4 linked regions of the Bombyx mori genome follow. The protein of the gene in region 3 purifies or fractionates together with the protein of the main gene of each other region. This does not show direct contact. Links are inferred from orthologs where the notes say so. Each region holds a gene or a part of one and is shown on either strand. Other genes may lie near its edges.

Region 1 (4,129 bases), on a different chromosome or scaffold from region 3:
CCTTCGGAACAAGGTGACACTTTACAAAACCAAATAAATCTGCATAAGGCCCGTCATGACCTACGCGTGTGGTGTTTGCTCACGCGGCCCGCACACACTTGGACACCCTCCAATCCCTACAATCCAGCTTTTGCAGGCTGGCCGTCGGAGCTGTGGTTCGTGAGGAACGTTGACATACACGACGACCTTGGCCTCGAATCGATCCAGAAACGTAACGAAAGTAGAATAAATTATGCTGTAGTCATAGTAGAAAATTTATATCACCCTTGTATCATCGCTCATTTAAACAAGACAAAAACCAAACACTTTTAAATTCATTTATACATGCCAAAATGATACCAAACATTGAAACGAAGGTGCTACATTCACAGTTAAAACTTACATTTTATATTTACAATACTGAACACAATATAGATTTCGGTTGATTGCTATTAGTTAAAAACACATAATATAAAATTATTTTCAATTTTAGGTGCCCATTAAGTGCCCAAGTATACAGTATTATAGTAGATACATGAACAAGCGAACTAGAGATGTAGTCATTACCATTTAAATACTAAATGATTTCCATTTGTAGATACCAACAAAATTACTTGTGGGGCTAAGATATTGATAACCGTTTGTTAGAAAATCAACTCCATATTCAGGTCTTAACGCATAGAATATGTGCGAATGCCAGCCTCGTGTGAGAACATCACTGTTTTTCTCAAGTATCTAACAATAATCTTTATTGGCCTGTATGGGAGTCAGATAACATTGTTTGTAAAACCAAGCACTCAAAACTTAGCTGTGAGATTAAAACAAACTTTAGACTGTTTAAAGCATAATCAATACCTACTGTAACTTAGTCACTAAATAAAATTATACGTATTTAGATCGAGAACAGTCTACAACCAATAATGGCCTAACAATTTGATTGACGATTTCCTTCTTATTTGAGAAAAAAAACTAAAACTTAACACATCACGACAACTGTAGTAATTGTTATGGCATAATTTCATTTTAAAATTCACCATTACTATAATTATGAGTCATTAAAGATTCACTAGTACATTATTGCAGAGAGGGGAGAAAGCAGTAAAGGTTATTTATTATTTAAAATGGGTAGACGGTCATAGTCCACCTTATGGTCACCTGATGGTCATCACGCAATTGATGCATGCTCTCTTCAACAATATGTTACCTTACCTTAGATAATTACAAACTACATTACTTGAGATACTTAAAAAGAATAGAAAACTTATAAAGTAAAGCTGCAATCAATCTGCGAGTTTGTAACTGACTACTGTTTCCATTTTGTGTAAACTAGTCGAGAATGACTTTAGCTGTACATTCTGAGCATTGGCTATAGCTACTGGTTGTGCCTCAGCCCATTTTTCTGGAATATCGCAGTCTGTTTTAGCATGAACCAAAACATCAAATGAACATCTACAATCTAATAGCGGTAAGTACGATATTGTTGCTGCTACTTGTAACATAACATCTCTGATTTCCTGTTGTATCTTCTTCAAATCTTTGCTCCCGACCATTTCATTTTTCTCCTTAGATAAAGCAGTATCTCCATCTTCGTATTGAATGTTAAAGTCCCAACATTCCAGAACTTCTTTGTTAGCCACATTTAGTATGATCAGAGATAGTTTTTTCACTTTCTTGTCAAGAATCCATTCTGTAATATCATCAAAATAACATCATTAAAACTACTTTAATGGATTATATCACACATATATTATTTTTGTTTTGTGATATTGTGAGTACTGACAATTAAGGTTATTGATGTACATTAAATTTTGTACTAGTTTCAGTTATCTCTATGACTTGTGAAAACTAAAGAAATTGCTGTGGTAAAACTTTATTTAAAGGATGTCAAAACTCCTAAAACTCCAGACTAAGGTGTGGAGCTAAGTAGGTAGCAGTAGTGGCCCTCAAAACACAGCACATGAGCAGTTGATTCATCTCATTCGTGCATAAATACAATGCCACTAAAAACAATGAATGATAAAAGAACTCCCCAAATTGTTGATCTTTATTTTAAGTCCATCAAAAAAGTTACTAATTATTACTAAGAACTGCTATTAATCATATTAGATTTGGATGTAGACTAACTGATACCTTCACTCTGTGTAAGAAGATTTGTTAAGAAGCTCTTGATCTGAGGATCCTCTGAGAGTAGCAGTGTGATGCCATACTGGTTTTCTGCCTTAAAGGTTTCAGGTGGATATAAGCCTCGTTGAAACAGTACTGAATTTATTGAAAATTCTGAAAACATGAGTAAATAAATCAGTTTATACTACTCACAGGGATTAAACAAATGTGGACTTTAGTCATATAAATTTATAATGGTTTTGTAGTCCACATTAGTAAGCCCTTGTACTCTGTATCTTTATGGTCGTGTTTCTTCTAACAGCTGTGTGTACAAAATATATTAATTCAATAAATAAAAATAAATAAGCATGTCCATCATGGCCACTTCAACATACTGGTTACAACCTCAGGTTATTATTAGTATCAGAGCTTTCAGCGCATATATGCTTATACGGCTGTGTGGTAAAAATGGGAAAACAAGCTTTTGATACCAGAACAACAGAGAAACAATGTTACTTACTCAAATATTCGCATATAATTTGAGCGGAGCCGCGCAAAGTAATACAATTTTTTGTTTGTTGTAGTGACATAGTTGTCAGCTGTTTGTCGATTATATTGCTGTAATCGTTCTATCAATAATCAAAATCAATGAATTTATATACACACTTGAGTATGTAGGGACGATTTGATACAAACGAGCCGTTATGTAGGTACTGGGTGAATTCAGCGCGTCCGTTGATAATTGTTATTTTCAAATAATTCAAAACATTTCATTCAAACTTCAATGTCAAAAATTCCTTTAAATCAAGTGTCAATGCTCAAACGCCTCCATATACCCTTTGCTTACATATTAAAAATACAAAACTCCGTCTGATATACTACGCAAAGTGAAATGGAACTGAGGAAAATAAATTAATTTTTAAGTAAAGTGGTAATAAACTTAAATACATGAGATCAAATAGAAATAAGCTCTCTCTACATACAGCTACATCAACACACAAAGATGATGATGTGCTCCTAATCTCTATCCTCCAAACTAAAAGGGTAAAATCTTAACTTCGGCAACCTGAATCATTTGATTTTTTTTTATTGCTTAGATGGGTGGACAAGCTCACAGCCCACCTGGTGTTAAGTGGTTACTGGAGCCCATAGATATCTACAACGTAAATGCGCCACCCACCTTGAGATATGAGTTCTAAGGTCTCAAGTTTAGTTACAACGGCTGCCCCACCCTTTAAACCGAAACATATTACTGCTTCACGGCAGAAATAGACAGGGTGGTGATACCTATCCTCGCGGACTCACAAGAGGCCTTACCACCATGTATGATGCTATTATGAAACAAAAACAATATGTAGGTACCTATTAAGAACTTTTTGGCGGGAACTCGAGGAGTGAAGTTGTGTGATTTGTTTTATTTTGTTTAATTAGTGTTTCTTCAGGTTTAAATGTGTAATAACTAGAGGTCAGAGTGGGTAAGTAGATTGAGTTAAGGTCGTTGACGTCAAACGTAGAGGATAATATGGATATATATATATATATATATGCCTCCAAAATACTGGAACTTCATATTTATTGTGATATTTGTTCCGGAATTTTGAAATTAGCATGAATTTGTGTTTAAAGTGAAAAACGTAATAATAATTTTTTTTTTCTTTATTGCTTAGATGGGTAGACGAGTTCACAGCCACCTGTAATCTACGCTATCAGTGCTAGCTAATGGTAAAAGAAATCAGTATTTTGTTTTATACAAAAACGCCTTGGAATAGTTACAGTTATATATTATATATATGTGTATAGTTATAGTTATAGTTATTTTGTCCCTTTCTGTTAAATTGTAAATGACGCTTGTCAGTATGAGACAAAACTTAGACAGTGCTTTTTTGTTACTTTATAAGTATAGAAATTGTATCCGATGAGGATTAAAAATAATTTTTTTCATTTTAAAAAAATAATCATTATGGATAAAATGGCATGTCCATATTAAAATATCTTGATCCAAGTATATGAAATCAATCTACCTACTCCGACCACTGGTAATAACGGT
Region 2 (4,083 bases), on a different chromosome or scaffold from region 3:
AGACCAAATGCATTCCACCCTGCATATTTATAATGAATCTGTATTATCTCCAGTATGTTTTTCTTGTCAAATTAGTTTTATTTATTTATTCTTACTTCTTAATTTAAACAGTATTTTAATAGATATTAAGACTGACACATGATAATGTATTAAATTCACTAAGTATTTAAATGTTATTCGTATTATTTTATAGTCAAGTGGTGGTATTACTTATTTTAATTTATAATGTATTTTGTTGATGGAACAGCTTAAAGAAATTGTTTTAAGCATCTGAACTTTTAACTTAAATAGACATGTAATGTAACCAAATTAATATATAAAAGGTGAAAATAAAGTTTTGTTAACTTTCAAGTTCTTTTTTATTTCTGATAAATATTAACATCTATGTCTTAGGCAATTTGTACATGCCTCCTTGAAGTACCAGTTGATGTGTTCTTACTTTTGTGTCTAAAAATTGTCTCAGCTCCATAAGACTGCATTCAGTGCCTGGAGCTTGGGAAGCAAACATCTTCAACATTTGATGTATTCTGTCCAAAGGCAAACAGTCCAAGTTTGTTAACATGCCTACAATATAAGACCAAAAAACTTGCAGTTCACCTTCCCGCTGATCATGTGCTGATGCCATGGCACTCTCCGTTTCTTCATCTTCACAAATCATTTCCTGTACTTGATGTGAAGGTACACTGGCTTTATTATCAGCTTCAACTAAAACAAAGTGATCTGTACTTTTTTCTGCTATTAAACCCATCGATTGCCAGTATGTTATTTTCCTTCTCAGAATAGTAATAGGAACTTTCATCACCTGATGGAGTTCATCTAACGTCCATTCAGATTTATTTTGGAAATGCATTATCAATGTCGCATTAAAAGGTGAAACTGTCAGATCTAACTTCTTTTCGCCTATTTCTATCTCTAAGTTTACATTTCCAAGGTGTGGTTTCCAGCTTAATGTTCGATTACCTTTTAAAGCTTCATAAGATTTAGTGTATGCTTCAAAATGTTCCTTGATTTCTTCTGGTAATTCCAGACTTTCATCTTTAAATGGTGGCCAAAACTGTGCAGATAAAATCATTGCATTAGAAGTAAATTTCTTATTCAGCTCCTCAATGGTTTTGTCCTGATGTATTAAGGAATTAATTCTCTTTGAATCTGATATATCTTTAAGCATGACTTCACAGAAGTGTAATTGTGATTCACCAAATCTTATTTTTAATAGCTCCAGGTACCTAATTTCTTTTTCTGTATTGATAACACTTTGAGCCAGTAATCTATCAGCTAGTAAAGTTCTATATTCATTAACAAACAATTCCTTGCTACCATAAACATTAACAAGCATAGATATAATATCATTAGTTCTTCTGTCATTTGAATCAACTTTGGGATCAGCATCAACTGGATCAGGATTCCATTCATCCCAAGCCTCATCTTTATCGGCATCGCCATCTCCTTCTGCTGCAAATTTAGCTAGCTCTTCAGCTAACTCACTACCAGCACCTTCTTCTGTCAAACTGCTCACAACACTCCTCACTGTATCTTCTCTACTTCTTAAATAATTACGAACAGGTTTTGTCACTGTTTCCAGTATAACACCAGAAGGATCTAGGTGTCTCAAAGCTCTAATAGTAGATATGTAAGCAGTGAGTATGTCAGGAGTGTTCACGCCTGGGTGAAGAAGCCTTGTTTCTAATGCATTCTGTAACTTTTTACATAGAGTTGGTCTCAAATCTGTTTTTGCTAAACAAATTTTGATGTCATCAACAGCAGGCTGGGAATCAGGATATTCTATAATGATGTTGAAGAGCTGATCAATTCTTGTTTTTGTGTAGCTATGATAGAGATAGTAAGTGAGTTTCTGTTTGAATCTTGAGATTGCATTTTGTATATTTTTATCATCAGGTGGAGGTTTGGAGGAGCCAGCACAATAAATTCTGATCAACCAAGACATTACTGTCGTATTAAGCCAACTTTCTAATGCTTCAATGTGGGACACATCAAAAGTGCCAGTACATACTTTCTGTATATGAGACTGAATTCTCAACTGGATGAAATTAGTTAGAACTTGACCTGTGAGTCTTTCTAACAATTGTAACTCCACCAACTTCCTATTTGTTTCATGAAATACTTTCACAATGTATGCACAGTTACAATCGGAATACTCGTTTCCACAACCAGAACACATTATGTCCTCGCCCATGTCGGAGTTTTCATATTCATTATCGAAAACATTAAAAGATATTTTGTAGAATTGGTTTATAATACACTGAAAGTCGATGGGTAACTGAGACAGAAGAGTAGCTCGGACGAGCTGCTTAAAACCTAATACAAGATTTTTCTCGCCATAAATTAACTTATTATCATTACAACTACTGTTCAATTTAGTCAATCTTTGTAACATGGGTGAGAAACTAGAAACTGCTTCATAGAGATCATTCACTGAAGATTTAAATAGTTGAAATCCTTTAACTTCTTCCGCGGTCTTAATATATTTTGACCAAAAACTAGATGCGACATGTTGTCGTAGATATTTCTCAATATGAACAAATACAAGATCACGTATCTTTATTTGGACACCCAAATTAACTATTAACACTTGCACTTCATCGTATTCAGCCTCAGTACAGTCGCTGAAAATTTTATCATCGAGAATTGGATAGGCATAGTTTATTTTATTCCAGTACAGTTTCAAATCTTCCTTTTTATGATTTATATTCATCATTATTGCAGGTCAGTTATCTTATACATAAGATCTAAGATCTAAGAACGATATCCTCATAAATAAATTAATTAATGTTTACACTTTACTCTTTGCGTTCAATCCTAATATATTAATCTGTGGATATTAAGTGTCTAATCTATGATCTGTGGTCCTGTGCCATAGAGTTAGTATTTTAGCTGAATTTGGCCTCCTTTTTTTAATTTTCAAATATATTTTTTTAATTTTAATTATTTATTCGTCGTTTGTTCGTTAATGTTCGAATGTAAAAATTGTTTGTTCGTCCATTATTTATTTATAATTAAACAAATGATCACTCTTAAGTTAGCCCCTCTTACAAAATATCTTTATTTTTATCGATCAGATTAATTAATTGTGATCAATTATCGTTTGTTCGACAACTACTGGTGATTGCTCGATCATAAAAACAATTAAATTCCCAATTATTAATTTAATATTCTTAGAATAATTAGAAATCACTGAAATTTCTATATGGTTGTTAATATTCAATATAATTAAAAATAACTGAATTTATTAAAACCGGGCGAATCGTACTTTAACGACTAATTGGTCGTCTTCACTGACATTTTTTTGTTGAAGTATTGTTGAAGTTTTCAATATTTTTTTGATCTACCTAGGAAATAATTAGACAGTTTAAGCGCACTTGTTAACAAAACGCTAGTAAATACGGCCATTGATAGGTGACTGACAAAACCGGCGCATGCACAATATAGGCCTGATTGCTTAATAGATATAAAATAATTAATAATTGGGAATTTATTTGTTTTTATGATGCAACAATCACCAATAGTCGCCGAACAAACGATAATTGATCAAAATTAATTAGTCTGAGTGATAGAAATAAAGACATCTAGTAAGAGGGGCCGACTTAAGGGTGATCATTTGTTTAATTAATTATAAATAAATAAAAGACGAAATAACAATTAAAAATAAAAAATCCAATAATTACAAAGGGGGGGGGGCCAAATTCATTGAGCTCCAATATTTCTGACATTTAATTTAGTTCCACGCGGCTAAATAACTCGCCGGATTTTTTTTGTGCAAAATTCCTATTTCACTTTTCTCACAACAAAATATATGGTTTTGGCCTTTGTTATAAATTAAATGGTGTGATTTTATAGGTGAATGAAGTTAGCCCCTCAAAAAAATTTTTTTTTCCTGTTTTCTACTTATTTTCTATTAATTCGTTTGTTCATCATTTGTTCTTGATTGTTCATTGTTAATAATTGTTTGTTCCCCATTTATTTATTTTAAAAAAAATATTAAAAATATATCTAAAAGTTAGCCCCTCGATTGCAATTTTTAAAATTTTTTCGTCCTTAATTACTCGTAAATATTCATTTTCGATT
Region 3 (2,745 bases):
ATTCTTTGCTTTTCTGAATTAAGTATTAATGTAAAGTGTAGCAAAAAATTGTATTTCCCTTTATGAGGTTTTACTGTATTTTTAATGTTACTATACTAACTTGGAAAGCCCTTATCATTTTTTATATTTTACCACATAAGTATGATGACTGACCAAATTATGGATTTAAATTTTGTTTGTAGTTGATGAACCAGATGAGGAAATAGATGGTGATGAAATATATAATCAAACTACCACTAGCATCCATGAACCTGTTGCGGGACCAAGCAGAAATCAATCATCTGAACTTCTCTATGGAATAGATAACCAAGGATTAGATACAGATTTCAATTCAGTATTTGAAAATATTCAAATTAAATCACCACATCGTAGTTTGATTTAGTTAAAAACAGTACATAAGTCAAGATGTGTCATAGACTTAGATTTTAATACTGTAATAATTTATTTTTCCAAATACATAGTTCCAAAATAATATGCTTTTAAACAAATGTGTATAATCTATTGCCAATTACATATTATTAATTTTCAATAAGTACTAGTGTAGATAAAGAAATGATACTAGATAATAAGGATGAGTAGAATATTTAATTTCTTAAATAAATATTAAAAAATATTGTCTTCATTGGTAGTATTACTTTTATCAGGTGTGTTTTGAAATTTTCCAATAGATTGTGGTGTTGTATCGAGAGTATCGTCTTCATCATCATCACCATCAACTTCCATTTCAAATACTCTAACTTTTCGAGAACTTTTTGAAAGGATAACAGCAACTTTACGACCTCCAGAAACTGCTAATCTTGAACCGTCCATTTTCTCAAGCACTTTATAAACATTCTGTTCTAATAAAGGCGCAATATCCTTCTTTACACTTCTGTCAGTAAAAATACAAGATTTTGTGTTAATATTGAGTTCAGTAGAATTTTCTAGGAGATGTTTTACTGGTACCTGAATAAATATTGTATTTTCCTCATTTTCAGGATGTGTTGTAATAACTGACAAATATTCTGGGGAATAGAATTGTAAATCTAATAAATTTGTAGGTTCGTTTTGTTGATCATCAGTGCCATTTTGAACTAAATAAGAAGAAAAGTAGCATTTCATAACTGCAATATTACAAGATCTCTCCTTTATATTGACAGCCAAAAAATAAATTCCTTCTTTTCCATTTGATATATCCAAAAAGGCCGACATCAATCGTTTATTTGTGTCATCAAAGACTTGTGAAACTCTCAAACTATTGTGCAGGTTTTTATTCAGTTGATCTTCGTGGCATCTAATATTACATAATACAGAAAAATATTTTCCTGTATCTTTATGAACGACATCAAAAACTTTAGTGACTGTCTCTATAAGATGTGCTTGCTGTTGAACTAATGAATATTTTTTGAAGTCTTTCATGGAGAAAAATGTATCATTGTCTTTAAGGAAGCAAGCATTGTCTTGAAGAAATTTATGCCATGTGTTGTCTTCATCTTCTGGCAAAATTGTCAGTTCTTGATTTTGCAAATATTGCCCTAATCTTTCTAAATTAAATTTGATCAATTTATCAGGTGGTTTGTCTGAACTGTCTACTTTTACATTGTCAAAATTGTAGAGAAACTCCGCTATGTGGCTCAATTCCTGTTGATTTATTTTCACAATTTCACTTGGTGTTTGTTCATCCAGTTGTCTAACGATTACTACAAAAAGCCACCTGAAGAAAGCTTTATAGTTCCGCATCGATACATCAATAACCTGTTGTAATTCCAGACATTTGTTTAAAAATGCACAACATGCTTTTATCGCTTCTGTAACACTGCTTTCTTCTAAACCTAGAATCTGCAAAATGGTTTATATTATTTTAAAATATTTGCATCTAATCTATCGTGATTATATTATACAATGTGATATGATATTCAATAGATAAAGCGGATAAGTGTTAGAACCAGCGCCCTGCTTTGTCATTGCTTCAGAAATAACACCGGGTTGTGGCTAAGTCCACGGTGGACTGCCATCACTGCGGCTTCATACACTCACTTTTTTACTCCTACCTATGCTGAAAGCCTTGAGAGGCTATTTCAGCTTGACATGTAGGTGAGCTCACGGGGCTCAAATCGGGACTGATGCTAACACTGGCCCTAGCAAAGAGCAGTGCTTCGCAGAATCAACAACCTGATCGGAAATGCGACTCACTGAGAAAATCTGGCGAGAAACTCAGTGGGCTGTGTCTATGAGGTCACTCACACATTCGCGCAATGACCCACACAAAAAAAGCCGTCCTCTTCTTTGCCGAATTGCCGAATGTGTTGACAGAAGCAAGCAGCGCGCCATGAGTGCTAGCGGACCAAATCGTCATCGTTCAGCCAGCAGGGGTACTCGAATAGGAAGGAAGTCCGAATTTTAGCACCCTAAGCGTTCCATATATTTCCATTGTGTCTCAACCAACGAGCGCTATTAGACGGTTTAATTCTGCCACGGGCCTCTAATTTTAAGCGGAAGTCTAGCGGTTTCTTCGTGACTCAAAAAAGAATCAAACCCCTAAGAATTCTGTACAGGTGTGTAGTACATATGCGATAGTATTGTTGTTGTATTTATACTAAATCTTGGATTGAATATAGTATTTCAAATGGGTTAGATACCTTACCTAGTATTTATCGATTACTGCCATAGATGCCAATGTGGACGCTGCGACCCATATTGAGTAAAGAAGTCCAAGTCTATTTTTTTATTACCAATAAGTAGCAATTTATTTACAGAATATCATTT
Region 4 (4,213 bases), on a different chromosome or scaffold from region 3:
ATAAATGAACTACTTACTATTGGCCATGCGCGAAGCAGCTGGTAGATGTCTACCCCCGCGTGTATTATTTACGCGTCATTGCCAAACAAAAATTACGCGTTTGAAACTAAATGATATTTGATTAAGTAGGTGGTAGGACCTCTTGTGAGTCCGCGCGGGTAGGTACCACTACTTCGCCTATTTCTGCCATGAAACAGTAATGCGTTTCGGCTTGAAGGGTGGGGCAGCCGTTGTAACTATACTGAGACCTTAGAACTTATATCTCAACGTGGGTGGCGTATTTAGTTTGTAGATGTCTATGGGCTCCAATAACCACTTAACATCAGGTGGGCTGTGAGCTCGTCCACCCATCGAAGCAACAAGAAAAATTAAAAAAATTAAAAGGACGATTTCGGGGCAAAAAAAATTGCTTGCCATCAACGTATCCTGTCAGGACTTCAGCTTTGATCACATTTCTTTGAAGTGCTGTTAAGCAATATGTGGGACCTTTTTGGTTTATAAACACACCGATGTCGGCATGCAGCACACTAAGCTCCAGAGGGCCTAGAATGGCATCCACTCTCTTCTCGTGAGTTTTGCGAAAGGCAACTCGAAGAATAGACAGCAAGGTTCACAGTTAATTTTTGCTGAGAGATTAATGAGTTGTCACAACCCATTCTGTGACATGACTTCTAAGTCAGTTTTTACAGTACATCGGCTGCTCCACACATCAAATGTTTACATTTTACTGCTTCACAGCAAAAATATGTAGGATGGTGGTCACTATCAGTGCAGGCAGAAACGATGCCCAGTAAAAAAGTATATTATAAATACTGTATATAAAGATTATATTTTAAGAGTATCCCAGTATTTTGGTTTTTTTGGGAGAGATAATTTGCCCTTTGACCAAATTATTTGGTGCCAAAGGCAAATCATCCAGAATCCTTATAGAATATTTTTCCAGAGATTGTTTTCTATCACTACAGATGTTTTGTTAATAATCATTACCTAATATTTATAATTTCAGAGTGGTTTGAACAAATTCAGGTTGTGGGAGTCGAACTACACTGCATCTAATCCCTGCCCAAATACAAATAATGGAAAAGCAGTGAAAATTTTAGCAGTAGGCAGCGGCTTGGCTCTGCCCCTAGCATTGCTGAGGTCCATGGGCGACGGTAACCACTCACCATCAGGTGGGCCGTATGCCCACAGGGGCAATAAAAAAAAAAAGAACATAAGGTAGGCTAATTTCACCAACACATCTAAATTTATCAGTAGTTCATATCGGGGTGAAAGGCTATTTGATTTGAGCGACATTTTTGCAGCTTTATAGCAGAGCCATTTAAAGTTTAAAATTTGAAAAAAAAAACATAATAAAAAAAAAACTTCTTTAGCTTAATTAAAGTTCAATTAAAAAATTATACTGACATCAAATAAAATGCACCTTTAATTACAAAGATAAATATCGAATATTATCTCTTAAACCAAATAATAACCTTTCACCCCTCGTTATTATGATATTTTTGACAATCCCTTGTACAACAATTCACAGAAAACTTTAATAATATTTAATCTGTACTAGCATAGTAGCAACCTTTTGTCTTTAAAACTTAGTACTCTGCTGAATTATGAAAGGAAGGAAACTGTAGAACTCCGTAATCAAAGCTTCAAAGAAAGAAAAATGTTGTGATATTGTCAACTTCATTTATGTTAGATTTGCATTATTCTGACATTAATAATAAAAGTTGCTATTATGTGCAGATCAATCCCTATATTCTATACTACATACCACCTGATTAATAAGTTAAGGTGAGATTTAAACTTGTTATCACTAAACTAAAAATGACTAATAAGGATTTGTGACTCTATAATCATCGAACCATTTAACTACTTATTGAGTTTGAAAACACCAAACAATAAATTTTTCCAAATTATTCTAGCCTTATAGGTTGGTAAACAAAATATAGTTACAAAATGGGACAGCAGTGACACAATAAAGTGTGAGAATAAAAACCTATATTTATTTATTATTTAAACTATATTTTCTTAATTTATGGTATGTACTTACGAATATTTCACTTGTTATTGAACTTCCAGTCTTGTCTGCACATAGGACACTGCTGTTGAGGCTGAGAGTGTAGCCACTTTACGATACAGTGAATGTGGAAACAGTGAGAGCAAGCACCCCAAACTAGAGGGCAGTCGTCCCCAGGTAGTTTGCAGTCTGGACAGCAGCTATCAAATGGCATACGACAAATCCCACAATTGTCGTCGTTTGCTACCCACCTCCAAGTTGCAACCCCTGTCCAACCTAAAATGAATTATCTCGTTACTGTGAATATTTCAATTTCAATCGGTTCTTCCTTGTATGAGGAATTTTTAAGAATTGTGCTCTATGACAATAAGGCACTTAGCAAAAATTACTACTTAATTTACTTTAATGTCAGTGTGTTTTAAGTTGCAAAGAATAAAGTGTAAATTAACCAGGGAAAATAAACATTATGAAAAAAAGAGATTGTGCTTACTTTTTACAGTTACTTTCATAGCGCGATCATGAGGCTAAAATAGAAGTTTTAGATTTATTTAACCTTAAGATCCTTCATAATTAAATTAACGATTTTTATGATATAATATGTTGACTGAACAAATTTTTTTCAGTATTTATCATTTGCCTTTAAGTTTATGTGCTAATTTTAAAAATATAATGTTTATTTTATTAATCTAACCACTGAAGTAAAATCAAGTAAGATCAAATAAATTTGTTTTTAATGTCAGTCATATGTCAGTCTTATCGGCTACTTTATTTTTTGAACTGGAAAAACGAAGGTATCACACCATACAGCGTATTTTTTGTGTATTCTGTGAATTCTGTGTTTTGAAAAACCATAGAGCGAAATGAGATGAAGTTTATTAATTTGAGACAGTAAATCAATTAGGATGTTAATGAAATGAGATGAGATGTGATGAAATATAGTCTCAGTGGAGTGGTGGTTATGCACCAAGACTTTTTGGAAGCTTTTGAGAAGCTACGTCCAGCGAATTTGTTTCATTTTCCCACATTTGTGCACCTTCAGAGATACTAAACAGTTAATAATGTAATATAGTATAATAATAGTGTAATAATCACCGTTATTACACGTTTAAACATGAGCACTACTTTAACAAAATTAACAGAACTTAGCGCCTTGCGTTCCCGCTAAAAAAATTGTCAGATGTTAATTCGAAAATTTTCAAAGTGTAATTTTTATTATTTTATTTCAAAATCTGATAGGCACGGGGATCGATACATGAAACGAAGTCATAAACGAGTACCATATTTTGAAATGATGTTAAGTGAAATAAAAAAAAATTACCAAACTCAATTAAACTACTAAAAATCATTTGAAATAAAAAGAACTAAAAACTAAACAAGGTCTTTAATAAATCACTTTTAAACAATACTAAAAATAGAAATTACACATGTACTGGAACTTCAGTGAAAGAACTGCAAGCGGAAGCAACTTGAAATACGCAAGTACCGGTAAAATGGGGCGATTAGGGACAAATTCCATCTTTATGACCAATTTTAAGGTAGTTGTTGATGTATATAATGCTATATCAGGATCAAAATGATTGAGTCTTGGGAGCATCTTTGTTGTCCAATTTAAAACTATGCAACTAGCATTCCAGTTTAAGCAAAAAAAGCAAAAATAGGTGTAATCCCTATTTACCCGGAAATTGCGGTTAATTGGGACGAAATGAGAAATTTGCTAGGGTGGGCACTACTTGGTTTTAATTTATTTATTTAGTTGCACCAACAAAGTGATCATCAATAAAAAACATTAAAAAACGGACACTCTGAACAAATAATAAATATTTTATTATGTATTACTTAGACATTTTTGTCCACCTTGAGATTTCATTGTTCTTATTACATGTCTGTGCAAAATTGACTTACTTATATTAAATTGCTTAGCTATTTCAACTAAAGACTTATTCCCAAATAGAAAATTTCCTAATTGCTGTTTTTAATATTAAGGGATAATATCTCTTATAAGGCTTTGCATTCTTTGATACGTACACGCGAGGCATATCTAAAAACAGAAAACAATACGTAACTGATAATATAAATATTTACCAAACAATAAAATAAAACATTGATAATTTTGAATAAAAGTTCTAGACAAAAACATCACGAATAAACCAGATTTTTACCAACAAATTTAAAAAATATTGTTATAACTACATAGACAAC

Evidence for each region.
Region 1: the proteins of anaphase-promoting complex subunit 4 (region 3) and mitotic spindle assembly checkpoint protein MAD2A purify together in Homo sapiens (affinity purification with western blotting; 14 studies listed by BioGRID and IntAct, with this or other methods). This does not show direct contact. The link is inferred for Bombyx mori from reciprocal best matches to the Homo sapiens genes ANAPC4 and MAD2L1.
Region 2: the proteins of anaphase-promoting complex subunit 4 (region 3) and anaphase-promoting complex subunit 2 purify together in Homo sapiens (affinity purification with western blotting; 12 studies listed by BioGRID and IntAct, with this or other methods). This does not show direct contact. The link is inferred for Bombyx mori from reciprocal best matches to the Homo sapiens genes ANAPC4 and ANAPC2.
Region 4: the proteins of anaphase-promoting complex subunit 4 (region 3) and anaphase promoting complex subunit 11 purify together in Homo sapiens (affinity purification with mass spectrometry; 8 studies listed by BioGRID and IntAct, with this or other methods). This does not show direct contact. The link is inferred for Bombyx mori from reciprocal best matches to the Homo sapiens genes ANAPC4 and ANAPC11.

Annotation. Positions count from the first base shown.
Region 1 is NC_085128.1:1,144,918-1,149,046, reverse strand, and holds mitotic spindle assembly checkpoint protein MAD2A, read right to left. Parts: upstream 2,855-4,129; 5' UTR 2,673-2,854; coding exon 2,603-2,672; intron 2,257-2,602; coding exon 2,110-2,256; intron 1,667-2,109; coding exon 1,260-1,666; 3' UTR 304-1,259; downstream 1-303. UniProt on the Homo sapiens protein: Component of the spindle-assembly checkpoint that prevents the onset of anaphase until all chromosomes are properly aligned at the metaphase plate.
Region 2 is NC_085131.1:8,614,775-8,618,857, forward strand, and holds anaphase-promoting complex subunit 2, read right to left. Parts: upstream 2,848-4,083; 5' UTR 2,717-2,847; coding exon 383-2,716; 3' UTR 336-382; downstream 1-335. UniProt on the Homo sapiens protein: Together with the RING-H2 protein ANAPC11, constitutes the catalytic component of the anaphase promoting complex/cyclosome (APC/C), a cell cycle-regulated E3 ubiquitin ligase that controls progression through mitosis and the G1 phase of the cell cycle.
Region 3 is NC_085119.1:8,385,315-8,388,059, forward strand, and holds the end of anaphase-promoting complex subunit 4, read right to left. Parts: intron 1,819-2,745; coding exon 604-1,818; 3' UTR 567-603; downstream 1-566. Other genes in the region: uncharacterized protein LOC101742302, read left to right, coding at 183-382. UniProt on the Homo sapiens protein: Component of the anaphase promoting complex/cyclosome (APC/C), a cell cycle-regulated E3 ubiquitin ligase that controls progression through mitosis and the G1 phase of the cell cycle.
Region 4 is NC_085118.1:13,747,133-13,751,345, reverse strand, and holds the start of anaphase promoting complex subunit 11, read right to left. Parts: upstream 2,706-4,213; 5' UTR 2,524-2,705; coding exon 2,505-2,523; intron 2,495-2,504; exon of another isoform or gene 2,291-2,494; coding exon 2,055-2,290; 3' UTR 2,048-2,054; exon of another isoform or gene 1,007-2,047; intron 1-1,006. UniProt on the Homo sapiens protein: Together with the cullin protein ANAPC2, constitutes the catalytic component of the anaphase promoting complex/cyclosome (APC/C), a cell cycle-regulated E3 ubiquitin ligase that controls progression through mitosis and the G1 phase of the cell cycle.